4 linked regions of the Diceros bicornis minor genome follow. The protein of the gene in region 3 purifies or fractionates together with the protein of the main gene of each other region. This does not show direct contact. Links are inferred from orthologs where the notes say so. Each region holds a gene or a part of one and is shown on either strand. Other genes may lie near its edges.

Region 1 (7,217 bases), on a different chromosome or scaffold from region 3:
AAACTCCAGCACACCGCTGTCCCCTAGAGATGCGACAGTGAGCAGAAAACAGACCTAACTCAGCTGGTCTCTCTATAAATCCTTCCCTGATTCCCAACTCAAAGTGATCCTTCCCTGTGTGCATTTACATATATGGAATTAAGTTTATACCATTTTGCATCATGTTTCTTTTTATTATAGTTATTTGTGGAGAGTCCCTATTTCTCCTATTAGATCATAGGGCACCCAGGGCTGGAGGACAGTATCTCTTACCCTACTCAGTGGATTCCATGGAAGAGATGAGCCTTAATTAGCCTACTTCAGTGACTTTAGAGACATGTAAACAAACACCAATTGGGAGATTTCTTTCCTTGCTAATTTGGTGTAGAAATGGTGGCTACATATAGTCAACCAAAACAGAACACTGCTGATAGAGCAGATTTATGAATTAGGAGTAAATAATATCTACCCTTTATTGAAGATCTCTTAAAATTCTGCAAGAACCTGACACTTTTGTGGAGAAGAACTCCTTTGCTAATCTGCAAATGACATTTCCAGGCTCCCCTGCCAGCAAGTCTTCCTCAATGGCTGCATCTTCTCTATCTCTGGGCTCTGTTGTGCCCTCCTCCGAGGGTCACAGTGGCTTCCTGCTGTGGCTGTCCCTTATCACTCCCAGGACTACAGTTCCCTCTTGAATCACCTGGTATGGGCTGCTCTCTTGACTAGAGTCCCACTTTATGATACATCATATGTGGCTGGACCTCCACATGCTTTTCCTTCTCTTGTTGAAGGATATTCAAGATCCATGTGAAAACTAGACCTCTCCACTCAATCACTGGGGCTGACTTGGTCCCTTGGCTCTCTCGTGATCTGGTGTCAAAAATGGAGTTGGGGATTAGGGTAGGAGTTAGACAAACTACAATTAGGAATTAGATCAAACCTGCTCCTCTCAGAAAAGACCATCAATTCTTTTAAGCTTAATTTCTGTTCATTCGTTGGAAACCCATTTCTACCTTGCAAGGATTTACGTCTCAAATGCTCTCATTTCCACCTCAAAGGTAAATAGTGGCCAACAACAGGGTTGGCTTCCTAACAGTGGAACTGTTTTCCTTTTCTTCCCCCTTGATTATTCCAGTCTTGTTTAATCGAGTGTAGATGGCATTAGATAGTGGTGAGGATCTAGCCATAATAGGATCCCTGTTGTTAGCTGGATTCCACAGAAAATCCTGGTATTAAGATACTGACTAGGCTAATGAAGCCGCTAAAAGAAACCCCAAAATTCAGTGGCTGAAATGAGAGAAGCTTCTCTTTCAAGTAACAGCCCAAGCACAGAAACAGGACCAAGTGGCAGCTTCACGGTGCTGAGGACAAAAGTGGCTTCTCTCTCTGCATAATGTGCAGCTTCCGTCTGTGGCCTGGGACAGCTGCTGCAGGTCCCAGCCTCCTGTCTGTATTTCCCAAGTGGAAAGGAAAGACCACACGGAAGGCACGCTGCAGGCCCTCGTTCAAGGGTGCAAGTCACTAGCTGCGAACGCCACTGTCCATTGCCTTCACTTAGTCACTGTGCCACAAGATGTGGCTTTTAGCTAGACAGCAGCGTGTCCAGCCACAGCTGGGAGTTTCTGTTATTAAATGGAGAATGGATGCTGCCGGCAACAGCCTCTACCACAATTCACAATCTCTCAAATCAGTCCTCTCCTCTCTGAACTACTGGGATTTATGATTACTATAACAAAATCCCTTATGATGAGGAAGGACCCTGCTACCCCTTAAAGGCATGTGTATATATATATATGTAAGTTTCTATGTTATTTAAACTATAAAAGCAGTAATAACAGCTAACATTTATTAAGCCCTTACTGTGTGGTGACTCTGTAGCAAGGACTTGGCACATACTAATCCTCACTTCTGAGATAGGTGTAATTAATAGCCCCAATTTTACCACTGAGAAAACTGACGCACAGGGAAATTAATTCACCCAGTTACCTAGCAAGTAGGAGGCAGACAGGATACTGACCCAAAGCTTGGTGCTCTCATCACGCCACAATGACACATATTTATAAAAAGGTCAAAACTGGAGAGCGGCTGGGGACAGAGATCTGTTCTCAGGGTCCTTAGTAATTAAAAACAACAACAAACGGTAAGATTTCATTCTAATAAGGCACTCTTTCTTTTTAAATGGAGACAAAATTTACACTAAAAAAGGCATAGCTTTTAAGTGTACAGATTGGTGAGTTCTGACAAATGTCACCCAATGTGCACCTGTGTTACTATCAACCCAAGCAAGATGCAGAGCGTCTCCTTCACACTAAAAGTTCCCTCGTGCCACTTCCCAGTTAACCACCCCACTGCGAGGCACCCTGTTCTGATTTCTACCCCCATAAGCTTTGCCTGTTCTTGAGACTCTTGTAAACGGAATCTTATAGTATGTACTTTTGTGTGGGGGTTCTTTTGCTTAGAATGGTTTTCAGATTTACCCATGTTGCTGAACAGTATACCACCACAGCATTATCCTATGACGATTCCACATTTGTTTATCCTCTCATCTGGGGTTTATCCTCTTATCCAAACACCTGGGTGTTTCCTGCTTGCGGCGATTACAAATAAAGCTATAAACATTCTGTGGACTTCCATTTGCATACCTAGGGCTGCAATGCTAAGCCAGAGGGAGGTGTCTGTTTAACTTGAAAAGAAATTGCCTCACTGTTTTCCAAAGTGGTTAACATTTTACACTCTCACCAGCAGACTATGAGAATTCCAAAATTCCTCCACATCCTCACCAAAAATTAGAAGACTGACAAATTTTAACTGGTCTGGTGAGTGTAAAGGAGTATTTCATTGTGGCTTAATTTGCATTTCACTCATCCTCAAATTCACTGACTCTCTCTTCTTTTGTGCCCAATCGACTGTTAATCGACCATCCAATAAATTTTTCTTTTTACCAAGGATGTCAATTATATTTCTTTAAGTCTTTGTTTTTCCATTTTAAAAGTTAATGTATAAATCACAAAGAGTAAAATTTACCCTTTTTATTGTACACACCTGAAAGTTTTGACAAGCATATGCAGTTGGGTGAACACCGCCACCATCAAGACAGAGTGCTTCCATCAGTCCCTAAAATTCCCAGGTCACTTTACAGTCCACCCTCCCCGGCCCGCGGCGACCACTGCTCTGCTCCCTGTCCCTTCGCGCGAACGTCAGACAAATGGGATCACAGGGCATGGAGCCTGGTAAGACGTTCGGCACAGCTGCTTCCATCCATCCCTCCGGGAAGCCCTCCGTGTCCCCAAGGCCAGGGTAGTGAGAAAATACGTTAACTCAGACTAAAAAAATAAAATCCGACAGGCCAGCTAAAGCCAGACAGAAAAAGCTGCAAAGTTAACAGGAAACATTTCTCCCAAGCACACGCTGCGGCTGGAAAGTCTCCTGCTTTCTTCCCACGGAGAAACTCGTCTCTAAATTCTCAAGCAGCAGACACTGCGACGTTTGAAAGTGTCAGTAAAAATAAAACACACCTCGGCCGCTCTGACCCCGCGGAGCAGTCCCGGTTCCCGGGGGCGGGGCCGGGCCTTCCCAGGGGACCCGCAGGCCTGGCCGCCGGCTGAAGCCCTCCCGGACCCTCCCGACCTGCAGACTCACCTGCCGGCTCGGCGCCTCGCTGCCCGCCGCGGCCCACGCGGGAACGTCGGTGTCGGCGCCGGGCCCCGGTCCTCACCTCGGGGGCGGCGAGGGACACGCGACGAGGGGCCTCGGGGTCGGGGCTGCAGGGCTCGTCACCGGCCCTGCCTCACCCGTCCCCCCGGGGCGACCCCGGCGCGGCGAGCAGCCCCCTCCCACCCGGGACCCCGTCCCGGCGACCCCGCGCCTCCCAGAATCCCCCCTCAGGACTCCGCACCCCTGGGGACCCCGCCCGCCTGGGGACCACAAGCCCACAGAACCCCGCTCGCCCCTGGGCCCCGCCCGCCTCTGGACCCCACGTCTCGGGCTGCCCGCGCCACTGCCTGACGGTGCGCTCTTGCGCTCCGCGCCGCCAGGGGCCGTGGCCGCGTCCTTCGACGGGCCGCCGGGCGCGAGGGCGAGCGCCCTGACCAGCGCGTGAGCGCCGACCACGCGCAGGCCGCCACCGGGCGGGGCGCCGTCAGGCAGTGACGCGGACAGCCCAGGACGCGGGGTCCTGAGGGCGCGCGCCTCCTCGGCGGCAGCGGCAGCGGCGGCGGCCGGGCGGGCGGCGGCGGCGGCGGCGGCGATGCTGTGGCCTCAGCTGGCGGCGGCCGAGTGGGCGGCGCTGGCCTGGGAGCTGCTGGGCGCCTCGGTGCTGCTGATCGCGGTGCGTTGGCTGGTGCGGCGGCTGGAGAAGCGGCCGCGGGGCCTGGGCCGGAGTGGGGTCCGCGACCCCCTGCTCTGCGCGGCCGCGGGCCCGGCCCCCGACCCAGGTAAGGCCCGTCCGCTAGTGGACCCGCGCCCCACGCCGGCTCCCCTCCCCGGTCCCCCTCCTTTTCTCCCAGACTCTCCCCTCCTCTCCCCAGACCCCCTTCATTCGTCATCCCGGGTCGTTTTCCGTCGCCGGGCCCTCCTCCTCCCCTTTTCCCCGTTCCCCTCCTCCCCAGGCCCCCCTTGTCTCGCTATCCTGGGCCCCTCCCTTCCCCTCTCTTCCTCCCTCTGCGAGTCCTCCTCCTTTCGCCGCCCTGGGCCCTCGCAATGGCCTGAGTGTGATGTTCTGGGAAAAGAGCTGGGGTAAAACTCAGCCGTTCTCAGCGGACAGACCGTGGAAGAGCTGTGAGGCTGGACGCTCCGGTGCCGAGTCTCTCGGCAGTTCTGCTTGTTCGCTTGTGTTTGAATCCCTGATTTGACTGAGAAGCCCCTCTTCCGTTTTCCCGCAGTCTGTGCTTATTTCTTGCGCGCCGCTCACCCCTCTGTGTACAGGCTTACAGGCGGTGTGCGCCCTGCGTGCATCCAGGGCGTCCTCGTTCACATTTCGTTCACTCTCTTGCCCGAAAATGTCGTGTCTTTCTGCAGGGTAAACAGGAGTTTCTCTAGTCTCAGGATAGTAAGATGAAATTTATTAGCAGAAGGCAAAGTTGATGACCTCACCGTGGAATCTAAGGGCTAAAGGGGTCCTTGGGGTGACTTATTTATCATGTTCTGGTTTTACAGCTGAGGAAACAGGCCCCAGGAGGGTGTGGCCGAGATAACACGAGGAGGAGGCTGAGGCCAGCCGGGGATGTAGGCTTGTTCACACCAGGTCCAGCTGGCCCTCCGTCCTGTTGGGTTGGTGATTGTTGTACTTTCTCTCATCCCCTTAAGAATGTTTTAAGTGGCAGCTCTAGTAAATAGCGTGCTGATTTTCCACTTACACTGTCAACACTGTCAACAGATTCAGTGCAGGACACGGAGACTAAAAAGTACCCAGACACTAAAGCTAAAGGACGACTGTGGCCAATAGGGTATGGGGCTAGGAGATGAGAGTTTGGAGTGTCTCTTTTCATTAAAAATTTGTCTTTAATTTTTAAAGCATTTTAGACTTATAAAAAATTATAGAAATAGTACAAAGCAGATAAACACATGTAAAAAGATCTTCAACATCACGAACCAGCAGCAAAAGACAGATTAAACCTACAATGAGATATCACTACACACCTATTACAATGGCTAAAATAAAAAATACCAGTGTTACTAAATGCTGAGAAGCTGGGTCTCTCATTTACTGCTGGTGAAACTATTAAAGGTGCAGCGACTCTAAAATCAGTCTGGCATTTTTTCAAAAAATTAAACCTGCACTGCACTCCTGGGCATTTATCCTAGAGAAATGAAAACTTATTTTCATGCAAAAACCCATATACGAATGTTTACAACTTTTTTTGTAATTGCCAAAAACTGGAAACAGCCCAGATGTCTCTTGGAGGTGAGTGGTTAAACAAACTGGCACATTCACATCATGGAATGCTACTCAGCATTGAAATAGAAGGAATTGTTGATCCCCTCAACAACTTGGATGGATCTCAAGGACATTATGCTGAGTAAAACAAGCCAATCCCAGGAGGTCTATAGTGTATGATTCCATTTATATCACATGCTCAAAATGAAAAAAATTGTAGCAATAGAAAACAAATTAGTGGTTGCCAGGGGTGGAGGATGGTGGAGGAGATTGGATGTAATTATAAAGGAACAGCAGTAGGGAGATCTTTGTGGTGATGGAACAGTTCGGTAATTGGTTATGAATCTGTATGTGTGATAAGCGGTCATGGAATTATATACAAAGACACACAAGAAAAGAGTGACTGCAGAAACTGATGAGGTGCATGGTCTGCTTCATTGTGCTGTGTGAGTTTCTTGGTTTGAGTAATGCAGTACAGTGTGTAAGAGGTTGCCATTGGGGGAAGCCAGGTGATGGGTCCCCAGGACCTCTCAATACTATTTTTCAACTTTTTGTGTTTGTAATTGTTCAAAATAAAGAGTTAAAGAAATCTTGTATACCATTCACTTAGATTCGCCAATGTTAGTATCCTACATAATCATACTATAAGTAGGAAAACCAGGAAGCATTATCCCATCTGCAGACCTAACTCAATTTCTTATATCTTAATGTCTCTGTCTATCAGTCAATCGAGGTCCTGCAGATACTTCCAATTCTAGCCCAAGAGTCAGCAAACTATGGCCTGCTAGGCCAAATCTGGCCCCCACCTATTTTTGTAAATAAAGTCTTTTTTTGTGTGTGTGAGGAAGATCAGCCCTGAGCTAACATCCGTGCTAATCCTCCTCTTTTTTTGCTGAGGAAGACCGGCTCTGAGCTAACATCTATTGCCAATCCTCCTCCTTTTTTTTCCCCCCAAAGCCCCAGTAGATAGTTGTATGTCATAGTTGCACATCCTTCTAGTTGCTGTATGTGGGACACGGCCTCAGCATGGCCGGAGAAGCGGTGCGTTGGTGCGCGCCTGGGATCCGAACCCGGGCTGCCAGCAGCGGAGCGCGAGCACTTAACCGCTAAGCCACGGGGCTGGCCTGTAAATAAAGTCTTATTGGAACACAGCCACACTCTGTTGTCTATAGCTGTTCTTGAGCGTTTGAGAGAATTTATGGCTCAGAAAGCCTCAAGATTTACTCTCTGGCCCTTTATACTAGTTGGCTAACCCCTACTCTAGCCTCCCCCTCTGCTTATTTGTAACTCCCTTCTCTGTCAGTGAGGAACCTGGCTCTCATTAGCCACAATATATCCACTTATTTGCTGAGGACACATAAAA
Region 2 (7,792 bases), on a different chromosome or scaffold from region 3:
AGACAAGGATTTACAGCTTAACCCTAATGACTTATAACCAACCTACTTGGTGAGGACACCAAGTAATTATCTAGTTTGAGGTATAAGCAAAAAATAAACCATAGATTCACAAACAACTCTTGCCAGCTGCTACTGGCTTGTCATCTTTACTATAACACAAATGGGAATTAGATTGTTTAGGGAAGGAATTTATTCCTGAAAAAAGAAGACGTTATAAATTTATAGAGAGTATTAGGTAAAGTTACTCCAGTAAAAGAAGAAATTCTTTTGAATTGAGAACAATCATCTCAAGATCTTTCTGTCTCAAATGTAGATGCCGTGCTGGGAAGCAGTCTAGGTATTGGTGTCCAAGTCAGGAGACCAGGGTCCCTATCCTGCTAGCTGCATGGCCTAGACTGTGTCATTTCACTTTCCTGGTCTTGTTTTTCACACGTAAAATAAACAAGGTAAACAAAATAATGTCAAAGGGTCCTGCCATCCATAAAAATCCTCTGACTCTAAATGATAACTTTTCTATTTCACTTTGTTTCAGCAAAGTACACCTACAGACACCAACAATGGTGGTACAGAGCTCAGACTAATCCCCATTGCAAGCATCCAAGGGGTAATTTAAGAATACTTTACATACAAAAAAGATGGAAAGCTTTTCTTTCATGTGTCTTCAGGCAATTTGGCGTTAATTCTTATCCCACCAAATAACAAAAGCAAGGGGAAAAAAAACAACAAAAACCAAACTACCAGTGAAAGATTAACATTGCAGCTCTCAATCCCATTAGAACACCTAAGACTAAAAACATGACAAAGTGGCAACTTTTACTTTAGCTGTTCAAATACTCCCCAAAACAAAAGTTCTGGGGGCACAAAGTTTACAGCAATAAGCAAAAAATAGAAAAAAAAATCAAACAAAGAAAACAGCAGAACACAAAACCATGTACCCCAACAATCCCAAGTCGGAAGATCTCCCCTCCCTTTAATTCCAATGCAAAGGGGCTGCTCTTAAAGAACAGTTAGTAACACTGGGAGCTGCCACACTTGTGTCAAGGGGCAATACTGACAATAATGATCAGGCCCTCAGAAGTTCCCAACAATCCTTTCACCTTGAGAAAGGGGCTTTCTTTTCCAAAGATTCGAACACTGTAGCCAATCCCTCCATGAAAGAATTCGGAGAAGGGGCCTCTTCTTGAGGGACAGAGAAAGAAGAATCTTTTAACAAGATCTCTAGACAAACAAAGTGCCGCAAAGAAGTCCACATACTAAACAGGGCCTAGCTCTTCAACATGGAGTGTGCAGAAAATCTCAAAAGCATCATACACTGTTTCCTTTTCCTCTCTTTATGAGCCTGCAGAAAAAGGATCCTTCTATCTCCACATGCGGAGTGGAACAGTGAAAATGCTCCTAATTTCTACTGACAAAGACTCACTGCATAAAAGATTTTCATTTCTTTTTCAAAGGAAGAGAAGAAAAGAAACCATCTGTGCCACTATAAATATAGAGCAGGAAAGAGTCCTCCTCTCATAGGTATAGAGCCTTATTTTTCTTATTTTTCTTGAGAGAGCAAGAGAAAGAAGCTGGAATCTTCCTCTTTGGGGGTGAGGGGTGTGCAGATAGAAGGAAGCTTTTTCATCACTAGAGCAAGTAGGGGGAGTGGGAGAAAATCCAGTCAGGAAGAAGTGATAGTTTCTGTGGACAAAGGAAACGCTGGCTTCTGGTATCAGGTCTCTTTCCCTCTTGGAGTACAGACCTGTTTCCAAAAACAAAACTTTTTTCCTGATTATTCTAATTGAGGCCCTCTATGTTAATTTGGGGAGTATGGTAGGACGTAAAAGTAGCAGAAGTGCCTCCTTGTCCAGCCCAGGGGAAAAGTCTCCTTTCTTGTGAGAAAGGATGGGCTGCACCCTTGTGATGGGGGTGGGGAGGGATGGGAGGAGACATGCATGGAAAAACATGTTTCTCTGTGGAAGATACTAGTTTCCTTTTTTTAAAAAAACAAATTAAGTAACAGTAACAGTTTACCAAAAGGTTACTATGTACTAAGAACTTACACAAATTCTCCTTTAGCCCTTATGACAATTCTACGAAAAGAGTAGCCAAATTAGAGATGGACTAACTGAGACTGGGAAAGGTTAAACAATTAGCCAAGGTCACAAAGATGGGAAGTGGGAGACCCAGGCTTGCAACTATCACACTCCAAACGCCATGCTCGTAACTGCAAGGGAAAGGAGCTCATTGCACACCAAGAGACTTGAGGGAAGAAGAGGCGCGACGCTCCCTCTGTGGACATGATTGGGGGAGGAGGGAAAGGCTGACTTCTAACACTATAAAGTAAATTCAGGGTCTTCCTCTATATCTCGGGGTAAAGGCGAAAAATAAAAGAGGAGAGGTAAGTCTCTCTTTTACAGGGAAGGATGATCCTCTCTGCCACTTTTAGGCAAGTTGAGTCTCGCTCTTCACCTGGAGGGTGCTGACCAACACGGGGGAAAGGTCTTGTTTGGGGTTATCTCTTATCCCTCTTTTAATAAGTTAAGAATCGCCCTCTCGCACCCCGGGAGCGAGTCTCCCTCTGCCGACAAATGCACGGGAGCTGAGGACGAGCGTACGCCCACGACAAGGGGCGTCATCCTCCCCGGGGAGAAAAGTTGGGGGTCCCCCGCCGCATCGAGGTTGAAAGGGAGTATCTCTTCCCCGCCGGAGCCATGACTCGGAGAAGCCGTTTCCCCCTCGCGACGCGGGGCCTGGTCTCCTCCCTCTCCGCGGGTCGTTCCGCCGCCCGCAAAGCAGCCTCGTTCCCTTCGATGCCCCGGGGGGGGGGGGGGGGCGGGCTCCCCTTCAGCCTGCATTGCCCAGTGGAGGGTCCCCTCAGGGTGGAGTGGGACGGGGCGGCTATGCCCGAAGCCTTCCCGCCCCCGGCCTCTTACCCTGAGGCCTGCTCCGCGGCCCGCGCTCGCCCCGCCGGCCCGGGCTCTGCAGCCGCAGCCCAGTCGCCGCCAAGTCTACCTGAGCCTACGGAGCTGAGAGAGCCCGGGGGCGCTCCGGCCGCCACCGCCTGTTCGTCTCTATGGTTAACACCCCCCCCCCCCCCCCCCCCCCCCCCCCGCGCACTTCCTCATCCGGGGCCCGAGCCAGCCATGCGGGCTTGCCCACGTCCCGCCCCCGCACAGCGCGCGCTCACTCCTAGGGCCAGCCCCAGCGGCCCGAGGCCCCGCCCCTGCGGCCCGGACTCTTAAAGGGGAACATACTTTTTGACCCTGTCGTGCTGAGCCCCAGGGCTCAGAGTGTGTCTCCACTGCTACCACTCTGGCCCAGGCCACCATTTTTCTGGCCTGGATGGCTGCAACTCTAGGGGCCTCTCGTCTTCCACTCTGGCAACCCAAAACATCTTTTTATAAGTGGAATCAGTGCTTTAGGTCTTGTCATTCCCCTGCTCCTTCTAATCTCACTGACTACCAATCTGCCTCCAGATGCTCCTTTCTTCTTAGCTTTAACACTAGCTGAAATTGCTTTGTTTCATGTCGTTACTGACTCGTTGATCCTCGTCCCTTCCCACCCTTGTCTGTTTTGTTCGTCACTCTATGCTCAACACCTAGTACAGTGTCCAGCACAAGTAGACTAACTCAACAGACATTTGAAGGAAGGAAAAGACTGTTATTCAAGAGGAAATTGAGGCAGCCACTATGGAAAACAGTATGGAGATTCCTCAAAAAATCAAGGATAGAGCTACCATATGATCCAGCTATTCCACTGCTGGGTATTTATCCAAAGAACTTGAAAACACCAATGCATAAAGATTCATGCACCCCTGTGTTCATTGCAGCGTTATTCACAATAGCCAAGACGTGGAAGCAACCTAAGTGCCCATCAAGGGACAAATGGATAAAGAAGATGTGGTATATATACACAATGGAATACTACTCAGCCATAAGAAACGATGAAATCCAGCCATTTGTGACAACATGGATGGACATTGAGGGTATTGTGCAAAGTGAAATAAGTCAGAGGGAGAAGGTCAAATACCGTATGATTTCCTTCATTAAGCAGTAGATAATAACAACAATAAACAAACACATAGAGACAGAGATTGGATTGGTGGTTACCAGAGGGGAAGGGGGGAGGGAGGAGGGCGAAAGGGATAATTTGGCACATGTGTGTGGTGATGGGTTGTAATTAGTATTTGGGTGGTGAACATGATGTAATCTATGCAGAAATAGAAGTATAATGATGTACACCTGAAATTTATATAATGTTATAAACCAGTTACTACAATAAACAAAAAATTAAAGAAAAAAATTCTGCACATTAAAAAAAAATAAAAGCATTCAGGAATACTAAAAAAAAAAAAGAGGGAATTGAGGAGGTCCCAAGAATGGAATCAAGCTGCCCCAAATCACACAGCCTTGTGTTAAACATAGAAATCAGTTGCTTCTTGGACCTTAACCTGGCTGACTAGAGAGCTAGAGGTTTGGAGGTCTCTGGGAGATTTTAATTCTCTCTTCTCTGATCAATATATCTTTGAGACAGTCAACATGTGGACCATTTTGGCTGAGAGAGTGGTTTTCCCAGCTTTAGTCAGGGCGGGAGATAGACAAACTCAAATGCCAATCCTATTGTCTACAGCCTGTATGAGTCCATATATCGTCCATATACATGTACAGTTCATATATTGGCTACCACAGATGCTGTTGGGATGAACTGACTAGAAATTCACTTTAAAACATTTCTACATTTACGGGCTGGCCCAGTGGCGTAGTGATTAAGTTCTCGCACTCTGCCTCTGCAGCCCAGGGTTTGCAGGTATGGATCCGGGGCGCAGACCTAGCTACTTCTTACCAAGCCATGCTGTGGCGGCATCCCATATATAAAGTAGAGGAAGATGGGCTTGGATGTTAGCCCAGGGCCAGTCTTCCTCAGCAAAAAGAGGAGGATTGGCAGATGTTAGCTCAGGGCTAATCTTCCTCACCAAGAAGAAAGGCAAAAAAAAAATATATATATATATATTCTACATTTACAGTATGCACATCCTCAAGTACTTTCTCAGGCAACTACATGCCTATAGAAGGGGATCTGAGAAACCCATTATTATTGGTTTATCCTTTTGCCTCAGGCTCTAATATGACTGCACAAAACCATTATTGGTATTGTCTTTATTTAAAAATGTGATATTTTGTTCATCATGGATTTTTAGTATTAATTTTGATTTTTAAAATATTGCATTAAATAAATATTCATCTTGCTCACTGAGTTTTTTGGCACCCCCCCTTAACATTTTGTGCCCTACAGCAAGTGTCTCACCACCCTTCCCCACCTCACCCTAGTCCCAGACCTGCTCCTAGCTCTGTGTTAGGCACAAAGGGGTCCAAAAGAAACATCATACATATCATTCAATCTCCTAAAAGTTGAGGAGAGCCAGTTTCCTGATGAATTCCATGATTTGGGTTAGTTACTAATACCCTACCTTCATATAGCACTTTAAATTCTTTTAATTTCAAAGACCTAATGTAACATGTCCCTCACCTCATTTGGCCCTCAAACACCTTGTGAAGGACGAAGGACGTGTACTTTTCATTCCCATCTGACAGAGGAGAAATTTGAGAAAAGAGAAGTATCTTGTGCAAAGCCACACAGCTAAAAACAGGCAGTCATGCACGTGGTTGTAGCACAGTGACTGTAGAACCACGGCCGTTGGATTCCCAGCCTGGGAGCTACCAGCTCCAGCCTTCCCTAACCTTGACCAGCATTAGACAATTTTTAAAACTCTCACTCAGCAAAAAGAGGAGGATTGGCATGGATGTTAGCTCAGGGCTGATCTTCTTCACAAAACAAAAAACAAAAAATCAAAACTTGCCAAGGTTTTTTACAGGTTTTTGCCAAATTAAAAAGTGAAATATTTGGGGCTGGCCCCATGGCTTAGCGGTTAAGTGCGTGCGCTCGGCTACTGGCGGCCCAGGTTCGGATCCCGGGCGCGCACCGACGCACCGCTTCTCCGGCCATGCTGAGGCTGCGCCCCACATACAGCAACTAGAAGGATGTGCACCTATGACATATAACTATCTACTGGGGCTTTAGGGAAAAAAAGGAGGAGGATTGGCAATAGATGTTAGCTCAGGGCTGATCTTCCTCAGCAAAAAGAGGAGGATTAGCATGGATGTTAGCTCAGGGCTGATCTTCCTCACACACCCACAAAAGTGAAATTTTTGCATTTCTAAGATATGACACCAATTATGGACATCTTTCAGGAGAAGAAATCAAATTCCTCTGAGGGTCAGGGAGAGAGAATCCCGTTAGTTCCCTCTGGGATGGAAGAACTTCCCACTAGCCACTGCTGCTAGGACAGAACACAGCCCCGGGATCTGGGTGTGTCCCCTGAACTGGCAACATAAAAATGTGTCTTACGTTTAACATTTTATCCCTGAAAGTTTTTGTAACTGCTGCAGTCCTCTTGATTATATGTTTTTCTTTAATATAAAAAATTACAATTATTTAATAGTTATTTAACTTCTGAATCCTAAAGAAAAACATGGATGCTTAAGGAAGCTCTTACTCGTCTTACCTCAGGGGCCCCCTGAGCCTACTCTCAAGTATCCCTGTGGTATACCACGCTTCTTTCTTTCAACGTTCAGAAATTTTGCGAAAACCATAGGTCAATTAGATGGAGTCGGCAACTAGTCAGGAGCCGTTGGCCAGCTGCAGGCACAGCACACGCAGCTCTAAGATGTCCCAACAGATAGCGGCTTAGGCTGAGCCCTTGGGTGTGGACATGAAGATGCTGGTTAAACATTCAGCCTTGGGAACCCAGCTGGACTCGACCAGGTCAGTCTTCGTCCTTGCTTCCAGGTCAGTCTTCGTCCTTGCTTCCTTTCGAGGAGTTTCCTGTTTCCCTGTCTGTAAATACACAATAGTATCTGCCACGTAATAGGGATGTGACGATTACATAAAGATGTCTGTGAAAGCTATGGTAGCTACTAATAAGCCGAAGCACAGAACGTCATTTGGGGTTTGGAAGGATTTGAAAAGTCCCCCAAAGTGGGTATTTCCCAGCAGAGGCCACTGCACTAAGTTGCACGTGCTCAGCCCTTTGCACCTTACAAACGTTCTCCCAGAAACATTATTTTGTGCCTCTCAGCAGCCTGGTGAGGCCAAGCGAGGGTCCAGAACATTCCCTTTACAGATCCGGGGAGACTCGCCCGAATTCGCCCTGGTGGGGGGGGGGGGGTCACCGAGTCGAAAACGAAACTCTTGGGCTCGGATCTATTTCGCAACGTCTGGGACGTAAAGGACTTCCTCTCGAGGGCGAGCAGCAGCCCCACCCCCGAGCAGGAACCGCAGCCAGCCCCAGAAGCTAAAGGCCGCACGCCACGCCCCGCCTCAGGCGCAAGTCCCGGATGGGGAAGTGGCGCGGACACCGAGATGAGGCGGAGGCCAGGCCAGAGCGGCCCGGGGTGGGGGGGGCGAGAAGGGGGCGGGGCCCCATGGGCGGAGCCACTGGAGCGGCGCGGGCTCTCAGGTGAGCGCTCTGGGGCTGGGGCTGGACGGGCGGCGTCTCGAGGTCGGGCACGGAAGCCCCTCGGACTGTGGGGGCGTAGACGGGGTGTCCAGAGGAGGCGCAAGGGCCCCGGGCTGAAGCGGGAGGGGGCTCCGCAGCTGCCGGTGAGTGGAGCTGCCCGCCCGGGCCCGAGTTTGGGGAGCGTGAGGGAGGGGGCCGTGTTCCAGGATCGAGTCTTGGCCCCGCCGCCAATCCGCTGTGTGACCTTATACGAGTCTCTGTCCCTCTCTGAGCCTCGGTGGCCTCAGCTGTGAA
Region 3 (7,284 bases):
TTATCAACTATCACCAAATAGCTATCCCTAACAAGTATCTCTTCTTTAAAGAAAGAAAAAACTATTATACTAATAAAAAAAAATTTTCCCTCCAGATTTTCAAAATATGTAGCTTTCACCAGATGTGCTATTGGCCATACAAATATTAACAGGGAAAAGAGAACTTTTGTTTTATTAGAAAAACTTGGACAAAAGATTATTTCAAGTCATGCATCCTAACATCCCACATACCTAAAAAGCTGCCTTCAAATTAATTTAGTTTGGAAAGTTAATATAGTTCCAAAAGTTGAAATACAAGTTAAAAACAGTATGAAAGCTGTGTGATATCCTCCCAAAAGGATCCATTTCTTGGAAACCTAACTTCAAATATTATTTCCATCATTTTGGCTCTAAGAACTAAAATCTGGACACACTGGACGAGCAATGGAGATCTAAGCATGAATTAATCGCACTACATCTTCGTTTTACAAAGATGTGGGAAACAGTGAATATTTACCAGAAGCATCAAAGCTTCAGCCACCCCAGCTTAACATCCAAAGTTATCTTCTAGTCTCCAATACAAACCCTCTACTTCTGTGGTCCGTCTACTATCAATTGCCAACTAGATTCAGTCACCTTGAGACTAAGTATGATTATTCTTCATTGCTTTTCATTCCTAAGAGTAAGCAATCTTGGATATTCAATAGGTGTTCAATATTTATACACTAAGTTCTAATTTACAATGGAATTGTATAATCTCAGAAAATTAGAAGGGACCCTGGAACATCCATTTTAACTCTTTATTTTACAGACAGGAAAATGTGGAGCAAGTGAAGTGGTTGCCCGAAGGTCAGTCACAATTATGCACTCTACGGCAGAAAGAGGATTAGTGTCCAGGTCTAACTTGAAGTCCAGTGGTCTCCCAATTACATCATTACCTCTCTTCTAATGTTTTCTACACAAATGACTGGTCATCTAGCCAACTGCTGACTCAGTCTTTATATAGAGTAAGTACTAAACTCTAAAAGTCATTAAAACCAGCACTTATAGTACCTAGAAATTAAGACCTAACAATATACATTAAATAATTTTTAAAAGCCTATTTCTAAACCTTTAAAACAAATACCATCCTCACTTGATGCAAGAGAATTAAGGGTCAAGAAGCAACAAAGAGTACACGCTACCCCTAAAATTCGGCTCTAGGAGATGATGTGTCACCTCATCCACTAGTAGGAGAGTTTTGTTCAGGCTTGGGATAAATAAATCTGAATTTGACTCACTTAAGTTGCAATTAATCACAACACAGTTGCTGAAAAAGCCTGTTTTAGGAGCATATACATCAAACTCATGAACCTAATTTTCACATCAAACCACAAACGAGTCAGCAGAATTGCTCTCTAATAACTCTCTTCACTAATATGAGATGCTGATATTCCACAATTCTGTACTAAAACGAAATGCTGCAAAGTTAATTTTGAAAAGGAAAGTCAAAATATTCATAGTGGAGATAGCATTTTCTATACTTTAGAAAACTGAGTTATAAGACTTCAAAAATACAGCATAGCTAACAGCTCAATAGGCTGTTTCCACAACCCTTAGGGAAAAACAAAACAGAATTAGATAATTTAAAATGGATTTATTAAGTGGATTACAACATTCTATTTTCAACATCTGTGAGATAAATTATTCAAACACTAAGCACAATGTCTGGAATACAGTAGCGGTAAATCGACAGCTATTATTACTGCTGCTACTACTACTTAAAGCCAGAAAAATACAAACAAGTAACTTTTCCAACAAAGAGCCAAGATATAAAATTTACTGCTTAGTTTATATTGCTCATTTTAAAAAATAAATGGCAAAATGCCAAGTACATTAACCTTAAAGAAGGGTTTCACACTACCCAATTTGAGTCAGCATATAAACCATAGATTAAACTGACACTTGATTTCCAATCCCAAAGCTCCTTATTAAGTATGACTCACCAAATTCTCCATTTCTTCCAACTTTGAAAAATAAACTATACTCCTTCCCTGTAACTACCACCATGACCTTCGTAGAAATTAGATTAGAAATTCATTTTTAAATTCTTAAAAAACACGCTTTAAATAAGTCTCTGGAAAAGACTGCTCGATGAATTTAACACAAACCACCCAGGGTAGTCCTAAAGTTGTGTGACCTTTAGCTAGGTCCTGGGATCTGGCCTACAAGCCTGCCTTTGGGGGGACCCTCTGGACAGCTTTGGACCCAAATATCAGGCCTGAGTACAAGCAGAAAGCCTCTTACCCACCTCACAGGCGAGTCCTAGGTCCCATTCCCAGGCCGCAGAACCCAAGCGATCTATCCGGATTTCAAAACCCTCCCCGACCCCGACACGCACGGTCGCCGCTACCCCGCCACCTCGCCCAGCGCCCAGGCCCGGAGGCTCCGAAGCCCCGGAGCCGGCTGAGCGGCGCCATTTTAGGCGGCGACAACCAATCCCTGCGCGGGAGGCAGGGGGCGCCGGGTCGCCCGGGAGCCGCGCCGGGCGTCGGTCTGGGCGGCTCGGGGGGCCCGGGCCGGCGCCTCCGCCATGTTGCACCTCCCCACCGACACCGACACCGACACCGACGCCGCCGCCGCCGCCGCCGCCGCCGCCGCCGCCGCCGCCTCCTCCTCGGCGGCCTCGGCCGCGGCGGTGCGCGCAGCCGGAGTGCAGCTTACCTTCTCGCATAGGCTCTTGACCTGGGACTCGGACAGCTGCTTGCACTCGTTCAGCTGCTCGATCCACTGGTCCAGCTCCTTGGTGAACACCTTCTCGTCCATGATGCCACCCACCCGAACCGGCCGCCGCTCCGCGCTACTCCCGCGCCGCCGCCCGCACACGGGCCACACGCACACGCCGCTGCCGCTGCCGCTTCCCGGGGTACTTGTGTGGCGGCTGGTGGCTGCTCGGCGCTAGCGCTGACCCGTTGGCTCCCCCCGCAGTGCTCGGCCACCGGCCGCTGCCCTCCTCCGATCACTCTAGCCCGCGAGCTCGGTCTCTGTAATGGCGGCCGCCGGCGTGGTGACGTCACGCCCGGCGTCAGGAGGCGGCGGGGTGCGGAGGGGCAGCAGGGCCGAGACACCGGCTGCGCAACTGCGAAGCCAACCCTGGTCGGCCGCCAGACCCGAGTCGGGGCGGGAACTCGGGGCCAAGGCGCAGGCGCAACGTAGCCGGCTGGTAACAGGCACCTTCGCTTTTAGGGCGTGGTCCTCCAGAAGGGAGGGGTCGAGGGGGAAGGGAAGACCGAGTCAGAGCAAGCGCGGTGCTTCAGCCGGGAACCCGGCCGATCCCAGGGCCCTACGTCCTGCTCGGCGCGGGCGCGGGCCTGACGCAGGCGCAGTCCGGAGACTTTATCCCTAAGGTGGTAGGCGTCGGGTCGTCACCCGGCGACTGCCGCCAGGTCGCGGAAACGAGGATGGCGACCCCATGGGTCCTCCGTGGTGCAACAGCGCTCGAATTGCGTGGGATTCCCTCATCTTTGGGGGCAGGAGTCGGCGCCGAGTGGTTGGAGTGGCCGCCTCCGCCTCTGGGCGCGGCCAGCGCCTTGTAATTAGGTCGCTCGTAGGCGGAGGAGGGTGTACCTGCCCCGGGAGTGCCATACGGTGCGCCTGACTCCCCCGGCACACACCTGTCCGCGGGCCTAGGTGTGTCGTCGGGCGCGATGGCTGAGGCTTGGGCTCTTCTCTGGGCCTCGGACCGTGCCTGGCTGCCACACGCCCCGCGCAGCCTCTCTCGTTGTCGCCTTCAGCCCCAGGTGTTCGCCTTCCTCCGATTTCGGTTCCTCCTGGGAATGAGAGGCGTCCCTCCCCCCCCAACCCCTGCCCTCCCTGGCCTGCTTTCTAGAGGGAAGGCCGTAAGGAGATGGTCACACTCGTCTTAACCGCGACCGGATGGTGTTCGAAGCGGCTACGATCCGCACTTTCAAGAAAGCTCGGATACCCTAGGATCCGACCACGGTCTGGCTATGAATCTCTTTGGAGTTTGCGAAATGTTTTCACATTCCATTGACTCTGCATTCACAGAAATATTTGGCTTTGTTGAGCGCCAACTAGGTGCTAGATCTCACGCCTGGGAGACAGAGGTCATCCAAACAGTCAAGGTTCCCTGCTCTGGTGTAGCTTGTATTCTCCCAATAGCACTGCTTAAAAACGGTCTGGGGACAGATAGGCAGAAGAGAGATTGTGATGTCTACAAGACCTGAGAGAGAGAAGCTTTTCAAAGGACATTTAACCTTAAAACGTAGGGCAAGAGCCGAACCTGGTCCCCTGTTTTCTAGACTCCCTACCCCAAAAAGCAGGCGACCCTGCCGCACGCAAGCGCTCAGGGATGCACTGGAGGAGAGTAGTGCTCGCTGCAGCTCTGAGGGCATTTTCCTGACCAACAGGCTGCAGAAGGCCGTGGATGCCCAGATCAGCCAGTGGCAGGACTGAAAATTCTCCTTTATCCAAGACAACCTGCTTGGCGAGGCCGACTGGCTTGGCCTTCCCGGGCTGGAAATTGCAATTCTGCTTTCCCTTCGTATTTATCAGTAGCGTGCCCAGAAGAAAGCACCTCAGATCTAATCCCCAAAAGGCTTATACTTAATTTACCAGGCTGGAAAGAAGTTCTTTTAGCCCAAATTCTGACCATGTTTTGCAGTTAACATCCCCAAGTAATAAAGGAGTAAGAGTTGAGACCATGTAGAATGAATGAGGAAAAAAATGTAGCTTGGTGCCATGATTATAAAGCCATGTTCAGTGTGCTATCCTGTCTTGTTCTTCACTGTTGCCCGGTACCTGTGTGAGAACTGGTCCTGTCTCAGAGGGCAGGAAGCACTCAGGCACTCAGAAAAGAGAGGTGACTTGCCCAAGGCTGCGGTGGTGGTCAGGATTTAAAACTTCAAACTTCCCAGTGCAAGGTTTCAGTCACACTCACACAACTGACCTCCAAGGACTGCAATATGGAACAGGGTCAATATAACTTCCCTTTGCCTGAATTCTCTTATCTGGAAAGGTGGGGATGATGTTAGTTTGGTAGATTAAAAAGTATTGAGCACCCACTATGTGCTAAGACTATAATGAGTGGGTTTTTCCGAAGTGCTGTGAGCTCCTTATTGGTAGCATTAATGGAGGTATTATTTATTTTCTCTTGATGCAGATTACTTGGCTCACCACCACTACAAAATGAAGGGAAGATATAATTATATATACTTAAAACATCCTGCCAAATAATTAGATGCTATGACTTAAATTCTTAAGGAATGAGTTCTAGGAAGCTCTTATTAGCATTCAAGCAGTGAAGTAAAGCATACATGATTATAAACAATACAGAACTAAATCAGAATGTCTTTTCCTTTAGAAGAAAACTAAAATGTTTCCTTACTCTCTGGAACTCAAACTAGCTAATGGATCTGAAAATTCAGTTTGATTAATCTGGTCTAAACTAATTGGACCTGACTGTCTCAGTTCTAAAGCTGAGGAATGCTTTGAACAAAAAGTTAAAAGTAAACCAAAAAGAACGGTCTTTTTAATTTCTTGGCAAAAACCAGGGAGTGACTATAGCAAATATGCTTTGAGGAAGAATCTTTGCTTGGATGGCAAATTCAGTACACAGCGAGTCTGAGTGTTGCCTATGATGTTCAAATATAGCTATAAATAAAAATCATCTGATGATGGGGGAGGGGTAGGAAGAAGACAGCCATGAGCAAATGGCTTCATAATGGGCACTCGTAGCCAAGGTATAAAAATTGACATTAAACATGGAGAAGGAATGAGATGTGTCTTATTTGTCAGCAATTCTCTTGGCCTTATGTTGGGTTTATTTTGTTGTTGTTCCTTCCAGTTCCCTGACTTCTAAACTTACTGAGACAGAAAGTAGAGCCACGTAGGTGAGAAATGGCTCTAGAGTCAGTGGGATGGACCTGGTTTAAATTCCGGTTCTGCAACTGCCTAGCTGTGTGAAATCTGGCAAGTTACCTAACTTTTCTGAGTCTCAGTTTTCTCGTCTATAAAATGGGGATAATTGTAATAGCCAAATAATAGAGTTCTCCTGAGAATTAAATGAAATTATGAATGTACAACACCAAACAGTATATAATAAATGTCCAGTAAGTATTAGATATTATTATTATTGTTGTTGTTGTTGTTGTTATTATTATTATTATTATTTCTAAGTAGTCTCTGATCCTAAATATCCTCTAATGCCAGTTGCAGCCCATCAATACCTGCTGTGAAATACATAGTGGTCTTTGGAAATAGAATATAACTGTATCTAAAACATCATACAGACACAAAGCCATTTGATGAAGTGGGGATGGAGGAGGAAATTCAAGGAAAGAGAGGGAGAGATGGAACAAAAAGAACACCCCCTCTATTCCCTTGCCATCAAGAAAACATTCAGAAGGCTTGTGTAGAGAGAAAGTCACTTAGGAATAAGTCCAAGAATTAATACAGTGGGTCAGTCTTATGCTCCTGTTGGCTCAAAATCTTATATCTGAAAAGGGTGACTTATCTGATAACATGCTCTTTGCACCAAGGCCTTCTATGCCCCTGAAGCCCCAAAATAAAGACCCGGTTATTTAACATTTTAGTGGCTCTACCCATGAGAAGCCTACCAGGCTCTGGCCAACTGGGCCTGCCCAACACCGGATGTCTGCACTCAAGATATGCAATGATGCTTGCAAATCATTGGTATCTATCCCTGTTCCTCTCCTTTGTGGTTGTCAGAAAAAATAAACTTATATTGCCCTTTCACCTGAAATTAGAATTTTATAGATATGGCAAAGACTTTGTGGCCAGGAACTTTGTCACAGATATAATACAGCTCTTTCTCCCAGCTATTGCAGTTTGGCTAAATAAAAAAAGAGAGAGAGAGATGACCACATCCCTTGGTAATGTCCATGATGTCCAGATACCATTCTCAGTTACAGCAGAAATGTTTTCCTCTGTTACAGAAAAAAAATCTCTGAAATGGAATGCAAAGTTTATCACTCCAGAACACTGGGTAAACCTTAGGAATACTGTCACCAACTTTGCAGCTATTAAAAATCTTACCACAGAAGTATGTTTATTGACATAGGACACTATTTTCAATATATTAAGTGAAAAAAATACCTTATAAAACAGCATGTATGATATAACCCTAATTTTATTAAATATATATTATAAATATATGCTAATAAGAGACTTTAGAAAGATACAGTGAGGTATTAACAGCAGTTGCATCTGGTGAGTGTTTTTTATTTTCTTCTTTTTTCTTACTTGATTCTTCTATAATGAAAACATTGTTTTCATAATTGTGAA
Region 4 (7,090 bases), on a different chromosome or scaffold from region 3:
ATAAAAGAAAAGTTTAGGAAGGTGCTAGTGTTTGAGAGAAAGCAAGAGTTTTAAAGACTTTTTTTTTTTTGTGAGGAAGATCAGCCTTGAGCTAACATCCATGCTAATCCTCCTCTTTTTGCTGAGGAAGACCGGCTCTGAGCTAACATCTATTGCCAATCCTCCTCTTTTTTTCCCCAAAGCCCCAGTAGATAGTTGTACTTCATAGTTGCACAGCCTTCTAGTTGCTGTATGTGAGACGCGGCCTCAGCATGGCCGGAGAAGCGGTGCGTTGGTGCGCGCCCGGGATCCGCACCTGGGCCGCCAATAGCGGAGCGCACGCACCTAACCGCTAAGCCACGGGGCCGGCCCCTAAGACATTTTCAATTACACTTTCCAGCATTGTATGGAGGAACTTACATGCTACAGTAGTAATCATACATTTGATTACTTTTTTTTTAAAAGTCAAGGCACACATGTCATGCCTGTGTAAAATCATCCTGTAAGCATTTCAACTGTAGAGTCGAGTCGCCAGGGGACTTGAATCACACAATCCTGGAGTCTCAGAACCTTATTAGTTGTGTAAAAATACATAAGTGTTGCTAAGACTCGGTTTTCTCACCTGTAAGATTTAGAAATAATACTATCCTCATGGGGTTATTGGGACAGCTAAATAAACAACGCAGATACAGCCCTTAGCACAGGCCTGAGGGAGTAAGAGATGATTATTAGCCTTTATTATTCTCAACACTATCATGAGGGAGTGGCTCAATAATTTTTAATACCTTTATTGAGATGTAATTTATACACCGTACAATTTTCCTATTTAATGTGTACAATTCAAAGGTTTTTAGTATATTCACAGATATGTGCAACCATCACCACAGTCAAATTGAGGACTTTTTCATTACCTCAAGAAGGAAGCCCTTATCCTTTAGCCATCACCCCCACCACCCTCCCCCTCACCCCCTAGGCCCAAGCAACCACTAATCTACTCTCTGTCTCTATAGAGTTCCCTAGTCTGGATTTTGATGAATGGTATCATATAGTATGTGGTTTTTTGTGACTGGCTTCCTTTTCTTAGAATAAAGTTTTCAAGATTCATCCATATTGTACCAGGTATCAGTAATTACTCCTTTTTATGGCCGAATAATACTCCATTGTATGAACAGACCACATTTTGTTTATCCATTTGTCTGCTGATGGACAGTCTCTCTAGTCAGCATAAGCCAGTAGACAGTTGACTAGACAAACATGAGTCAGACAATCCAAATTCTGTTTCACTTGTATAGACACGTACTCTTCAATTTACCCTGCAAAAGATATAATAAAGAGCTCCTAGTGATCCAGGCCCCCATCTAGCCTGTGTGAGTGATGGGGTCCATTTGAGACAGTTACAAGGCAGGTTGTGAGAAATGCTCTAACATGAACAAAACGCTGTAGGAATACAAGGGGAGGTAGAGGAAAGACTGATCCCAACAACGGAACCAGGAAGGTTGGCAGAGACAGAATTTGAGCTGGGCATGAGGGTGTTGGAAAAAGCGCATTCTCAAAAGAAGGACGCCTTGGAACCAAGGCATGGAGGGTGGGGAAAGCATTTGCGGAGCACAGAGTGAGAGATACAACAGGAAGGCAGGGGACATGCGGATGCCAGGCAAATTGTGTACTTTATTCTTGTGCATTGGGATGAAACTTTTTGAGCAGTCACTACAATACTTGTGTTTTCTAAGAAAGGCAACACCAGCAGCAGTGTGTCCCTTGATGAAATCACTGAATTTTCTCTCAAGTTTTTATACCTGCAAGTCTTTCAACTTCACAAAAACTTGTATAAGCTTTTGAAGACGTTACTACGTAAATCCAATTTTTTACTATATTGTTACCTCCATTCAATAAAAAATGTACTGATTTTTATCATTGAAAACCAGTCTCTAAAGATTCAAAACTAAAATCAAGACTATTTCTACAAGTTTCGAACCCTTTTGACGGAACACAGATTCATAAGACTATTTACTATGGTACAAATAAATGACATAAGACCTCTGTCAGATCTGCTCTGACAGTGGCCACTGGCTTTTTTTCTTGAGTGCTCGGAGGGACTCATGCCTTGAAAATAAAAAAAGACCCAAAGAGGTGAACTTCTGTTGTGTCGGTAGTGAGTTTTGATAATGGTTGAAAATCTCAATTTTCAGCGACAGATTTGGGTCAGCTAAAGCTAGAAGCAATTACAGATGTACAAAAAGGTACAAAGGGTTCTCATCCAAGTTCATGCCAAAGGAAAAAGATCAGGAGGAAAGAATAGGCCTCTTTGGAATTGTGACCTGCCACACGTGCTTAAAGTGGGGTTTATATTTGAATGTCACAATGTTAAAGGCTGTTCATTGTTCATTTGCATATGCATGCCAGTTCAGTAACTACAGCGTCTATTTTATGTCCCTTTAACATATTTTTTTTGTCCCTTAAGAAGCATTTCCCGTACTGGTCTAATGTCATTGGTGTCTTTTCGATATACAGCACCTATTAATATTAGGAAAAACTTTTTTTGCGTGTTTGGACAGGAAAAAAATAAACTGAGCAAAGAACATCATTAGACATTTCCCTTACTTCACAACAATCTAATGAGCCAAATGGATTGCAGAATTCACCATTTTGAAGGAGGAAACACTCAAATTCACCATAGAGTGAAGTGAGACCTGACTCCAAGATCTAAAATGTCCTTAGAGCATCACTCCAGGTTTAGAGGGTAAAAGGGCCAAGCATTAGGAAAGGTTAACGGATCACCAACCATCCAGTGACAAAGCCAGTTCTCGCCTTAAGGCCAGGGTCAAATGTTATTACCCATGCACTGATTTCATAGGTATGACACAACAGGGCAAGTTCCTATTCTATGGCAGTTGGGGTGCAGGAAGGCTGGAAACCTATAAACACAAGCTTGTAAAATATTAGGTCGTGATCAGTGCTCTAAAGAAAGGATTTAGAGGACGGGGTACTACTTAGCTAGGGTTGCCAGGAAAGATCTTTCCGAGGGAGCACAACGCAGGGCTTCCGAGTGGAGCCCTTAGGCAAGGCTGTGCAATTTTGCTTCTTACCGGCTAGGTGTGAGTGGAGCCCTTAGACAAGGCTGTGCAATTTTGCTTCTTACCGGCTAGCTGTATAATCTTGGGCAAGTTACTGGACCACTTGTGCTAAACGGGGATTTCTCTAACAAACATTTAGAGCTTGCTAAGGGCCGGGCACTGTTCTCCCTGAATCCGTACAGCAGCTGTGTAAGGTGGACACCATTGTTATCATTACCATTTTTGCAGACAAGGAACCTGCGGCAGAAAGAGATTATGTCACCTCCCCAAAGACCCAGCTAGTTAAGTGGCAGCAGGGATTCCAACCCAGACAGTGACTGCAGTACCCCTGTGTCTTAAGATCGCGCTAAGGATTGAGTTATTCACCCCAAAGCGCTCAGAACAGTCCCGGCAGCTGGATCCCGAAGCGCCAGCGAAGCGCCGCGGAGGGGGCACCGGGCAGCCCCGAAGGGCGGAGGGCGCGGCGGCAGGAGCACGGCGCCCCGAACACCAGACTCCGGGCCAGGGCAGCGGCCAGCGGCTCGCACGCCCGCCCGCACCCGACACGGACGGCCGGACGACGAAGCCCCCACCGAGCGCGACCCCCACGCCGCGCCCGCCCCCAAGCCCACGTTCCGCGCTATGCCCGCCGGCCTCACCTCCGCCTCCCTCCATCGCGAGAGTTCCGGCAGTTGGGGGAACCCGGAAGTGGATTCTACCATCTTTTCGGAGCCGGGGAGAGAAGGAGCGAGTAAATAATGCTCTCAGTAAATGAGTTCCTCCTTGGGACCCGCTATCCAGAAACTCTCCATTGTATAGCTTTAAGAAATGACTAAATTCGAGCTACTCTCGGCTTGTGGATTCTAAAGTTCCCGTCCGTGTCTTCGCACTCCCCCCCCACAGCTTCCTGGATGATACAAGTTTCCGAAGGCCGCTGATTCCAGAAGGTACTGTCTGGCGTTAAACTAGTCTCACGCGAAAAATAAGTCTCACGCGGCCTGTACTGCGCGTGCGCGAACTGTGCCGCGCTCCCGCGAGAGGAGGGTGCGTTCTCCGTTCGGAGTGGTCCTAGCCGGTTGCGGAAAGGTAGCCGCTGCTGCTGCGCCATGGCGTCCGTGGGGACCCTCGCCTTCGATGAATATGGGCGCCCCTTCCTCATCATCAAGGATCAGGACCGCAAGTCTCGTCTTATGGGACTTGAGGCCCTCAAGGTAACGGGACCGGGACACACTGGCGCTGGGAGAGGGGAGGCGGCCGAACCCGGGCTCTGCGCCTGCGCGGGCCTGGGAGCGGGTCTGCCATGTGCTCCCGGGAAGGCCGGGGGAGCCCCGCTCCTTGAGCTCGGGGAGGCCGGCGGATAAGCCTTTAGCCCCGAGTTGGCGGTAGGGTGGAGCCGCAGGCACCGTTCAGAGCCGGTGGGGCGGCTTCAGTTCCTCGGTTCCCCGGCCCAGCAGTGTTGTCGTCAGCAGGGTGCAGAGAAGGTAGTCTCAGGTCGCCTGGCCGGTGCAGGCTCTGCCTCCTGACCTTCCCTGAGTGTCCCTGCAACAGCCCTAAGAGAAACGGAGCCTCATCATCTTTGTCACCTCCCAAAGGCGTAGTCATTTACCAAGTACGTCTGGTTTGAGCACCTTTATGTGTGGCGTATTCCTGGATGCCTGTCGTAAAAATAAAAAATAGACATCCTTAAGGAAGAAAGGACTAGCGCAAGAAGGAAAAATGGACACCAGTAAGCGTCATACCGGGCAGCGTGTGATTAGAATCGCGGTTATGGGAGAGGATGCAGATAAAGTTGGAGGGTGTCCTCCAGACTGGGTAGAGGCCGGCTTCTGATCAAGGGTGGAGTGATGTGTTGAATGGGAGAGAGCCAGGGTTCTGGGGGAGGAAACAGTAAAAGCGAAGACCCGGGCAGGAAAACGGGGCGGCGCGTTGTAGGGCGAAAGAGCGGTCTGGTTTAGGTGGAGCGTAGTCTACTTTAAGTTACAGTAGTTCCCCAGAGTGGAAGCTCTTGAATGCCCCACAGTCAAGATGTTGTTCCATGGGAAGGAGGGGAGCCGTTGAGAGAGTTTTGAGCATAATCGTAATTTGAGTGAAGCTGTACGTTAGGAAGTAGCATGTGGGGTGGGCTGGAGGAAAAAAGGAAGACCAGAGGCGTTAAATGCAGCATAGCAGGAGTCCAGGTGAGGAAGGGTCATCTGAACAGACGCTGACGGGAAACACGGAGGAAGGGACGCTTTGAGAGGGCACTGACTTCTTTAGGGTTTGTTATAAAGTGGAAGAATCCGTGATGTTGGTGTGGATAGGCCTTGTCACTGGGTCTGAGGTGTCTCTGTTCGTTTAGGGTCTTAGTGCTTTACTTAAATTAAGAAACAGTACAGTTCTCCCACAGGCTGGTTGTTTGAGAACAAGTTACACAACCTCTCTGAACCTCCTTTCTCAGTGAGAGTGTGCACCTCTGTCAAGCTGAGGATGAGAATTAAATGAGGCTAGTTTAAGGAGTGACCACACAGTGCTTGAATGATGGTGGGCGCTCAGGCCGCTGGTATTATTACATGTTCAGGTCTATTTTTCACTTAAAGCGAACAGCACAGAAAGTAACATCCAATATAATAGTACCCTGGAAGCTGCAGGTTATTTTGCATTAGCCACTGTGTTAACCGCTTTCCGTACGTTATTTCATGGTATCCCCACACTGTGAGTTAGGTATTGTTGCGCTGTATTGGAAACGGCCTCAGAGCAGTTAAGCAATTGCTTCAAGTCGCAGGGCCATGATTGAAGCCCCCCTCTGTCTGACTCCAAAGCCAGTGGTCTAGAGCAGGGCCTCAACCTTGGCACTACTAACATTTGGGGCCAGATCCTTCTTTGTTGTGGGGCTCTGTCCTGTGTAGGATGTTTAGCAGCATCCCTGGCCTCTGCCCACTCTGTGCCAGTAGTACCTCCCTCGCCAGTCATGACAACCAAAAATGTCTCCCAGGGGCCAAAATTGCCCCTGGTTAAGAACCACTTCCCTCTGATTATTACCTCTTAAAAATTCCATTATACAGACATATCAATCCAAGTATATTTTGAGGATTACCAGTATTTTCACAGAGCCAATGAACTCTGTCTTTTGTCACCTGCCAGGTGAGTAACCAGGGACAGCTTCACAGAACATGTGCATTTGAACTGCTTTGAAAGTTGGTCAGGATTTTGGTGGGGACAGGGCCTTCTGTGCATCACTACCTCAGGGATCAGAGGACATGTTCCGGAAACAAGAATAGACCATCCTCGCTGGAAGGGAGCTAGGTCTCAGATTGCAGAGGGCATTGAAGACAGAGCTGAAGCTTTTGGACTTGAGTGTTGAGGCGCTGGGGAGTTGTTTAAGGTTTGGGACTAGTAAGCAACACCCTTGAGAAAAATGGGTGGCTTAGCTGGATGTAGGATGAATTTGAAGGATGGGAGGTGAGATAAGAGACCCTTGAATTCTGTAGGATGCTGTGGATCTGGGTTTAGGTTGGTGATGGCAAGAATAGAAAGAAAGGAAACGACATTTGGAGGAAAAACGGGTATAATTATGTGTGGGAACAGAAAAGGATGCTTTCAAGCTTCCAATACTTTCCGTGTTGATAACCTTGGCAGCTGACAGGCAAGGGTGACTCTAAGGTATATGGGTTCTGCGTTGGCTTGACCGTTTGAGAGAAGAGTGCGTCTCTGCAGTAAACCGTAGTGTGACAGTTCCAGGTGCTGCGTGTGTACAGCTGGACTCCTCACGTGATGTTAGCCTTGCAAAGTCCTACAAGGCCTGTCAGGTCAGACTGCCCCTGCTCTTGGCTGTAAGGTGGGCGGTAGGAGAACCTGCCTCATAGATGTATTGATTCTAGAGAACAGGAACTATGTCATGAGTGTTTTTTATAATCATCAGCTGTATGCATTTAACTATTAAAATTATATGTACTTGAATATTTGTTTTTTCTGTCTGCTTGATTTAGTCTCATATAATGGCAGCAAAGGCTGTAGCCAATACAATGAGAACATCACTTGGACCAAATGGTAAGAGTCTCTCATTCTGTGTTGTTTTAACA

What was found.
Region 1: the proteins of PPP2CA (region 3) and ANKLE2 purify together in Homo sapiens (affinity purification with mass spectrometry; 4 studies listed by BioGRID and IntAct, with this or other methods). This does not show direct contact. The link is inferred for Diceros bicornis minor from reciprocal best matches to the Homo sapiens genes PPP2CA and ANKLE2.
Region 2: the proteins of PPP2CA (region 3) and PRR14L purify together in Homo sapiens (affinity purification with mass spectrometry; 3 studies listed by BioGRID and IntAct, with this or other methods). This does not show direct contact. The link is inferred for Diceros bicornis minor from reciprocal best matches to the Homo sapiens genes PPP2CA and PRR14L.
Region 4: the proteins of PPP2CA (region 3) and CCT5 purify together in Homo sapiens (affinity purification with mass spectrometry; 4 studies listed by BioGRID and IntAct, with this or other methods). This does not show direct contact. The link is inferred for Diceros bicornis minor from reciprocal best matches to the Homo sapiens genes PPP2CA and CCT5.

What each region holds. Positions count from the first base shown.
Region 1 is NC_080774.1:431,040-438,256, forward strand, and holds the start of ANKLE2 (ankyrin repeat and LEM domain-containing protein 2), read left to right. Parts: upstream 1-4,210; 5' UTR 4,211-4,225; coding exon 4,226-4,412; intron 4,413-7,217. UniProt on the Homo sapiens protein: Involved in mitotic nuclear envelope reassembly by promoting dephosphorylation of BAF/BANF1 during mitotic exit.
Region 2 is NC_080774.1:25,087,679-25,095,470, forward strand, and holds the start of PRR14L (protein PRR14L), read right to left. Parts: upstream 3,020-7,792; 5' UTR 2,916-3,019; intron 1-2,915.
Region 3 is NC_080740.1:53,370,264-53,377,547, forward strand, and holds the start of PPP2CA (serine/threonine-protein phosphatase 2A catalytic subunit alpha isoform), read right to left. Parts: upstream 3,021-7,284; 5' UTR 2,785-3,020; coding exon 2,683-2,784; intron 1-2,682. UniProt on the Homo sapiens protein: Catalytic subunit of protein phosphatase 2A (PP2A), a serine/threonine phosphatase involved in the regulation of a wide variety of enzymes, signal transduction pathways, and cellular events.
Region 4 is NC_080759.1:53,832,487-53,839,576, reverse strand, and holds the start of CCT5 (T-complex protein 1 subunit epsilon), read left to right. Parts: upstream 1-4,088; 5' UTR 4,089-4,138; coding exon 4,139-4,243; intron 4,244-6,997; coding exon 6,998-7,058; intron 7,059-7,090. Other genes in the region: ATPSCKMT (ATP synthase subunit C lysine N-methyltransferase), read right to left, coding at 3,692-3,707. UniProt on the Homo sapiens protein: Component of the chaperonin-containing T-complex (TRiC), a molecular chaperone complex that assists the folding of actin, tubulin and other proteins upon ATP hydrolysis.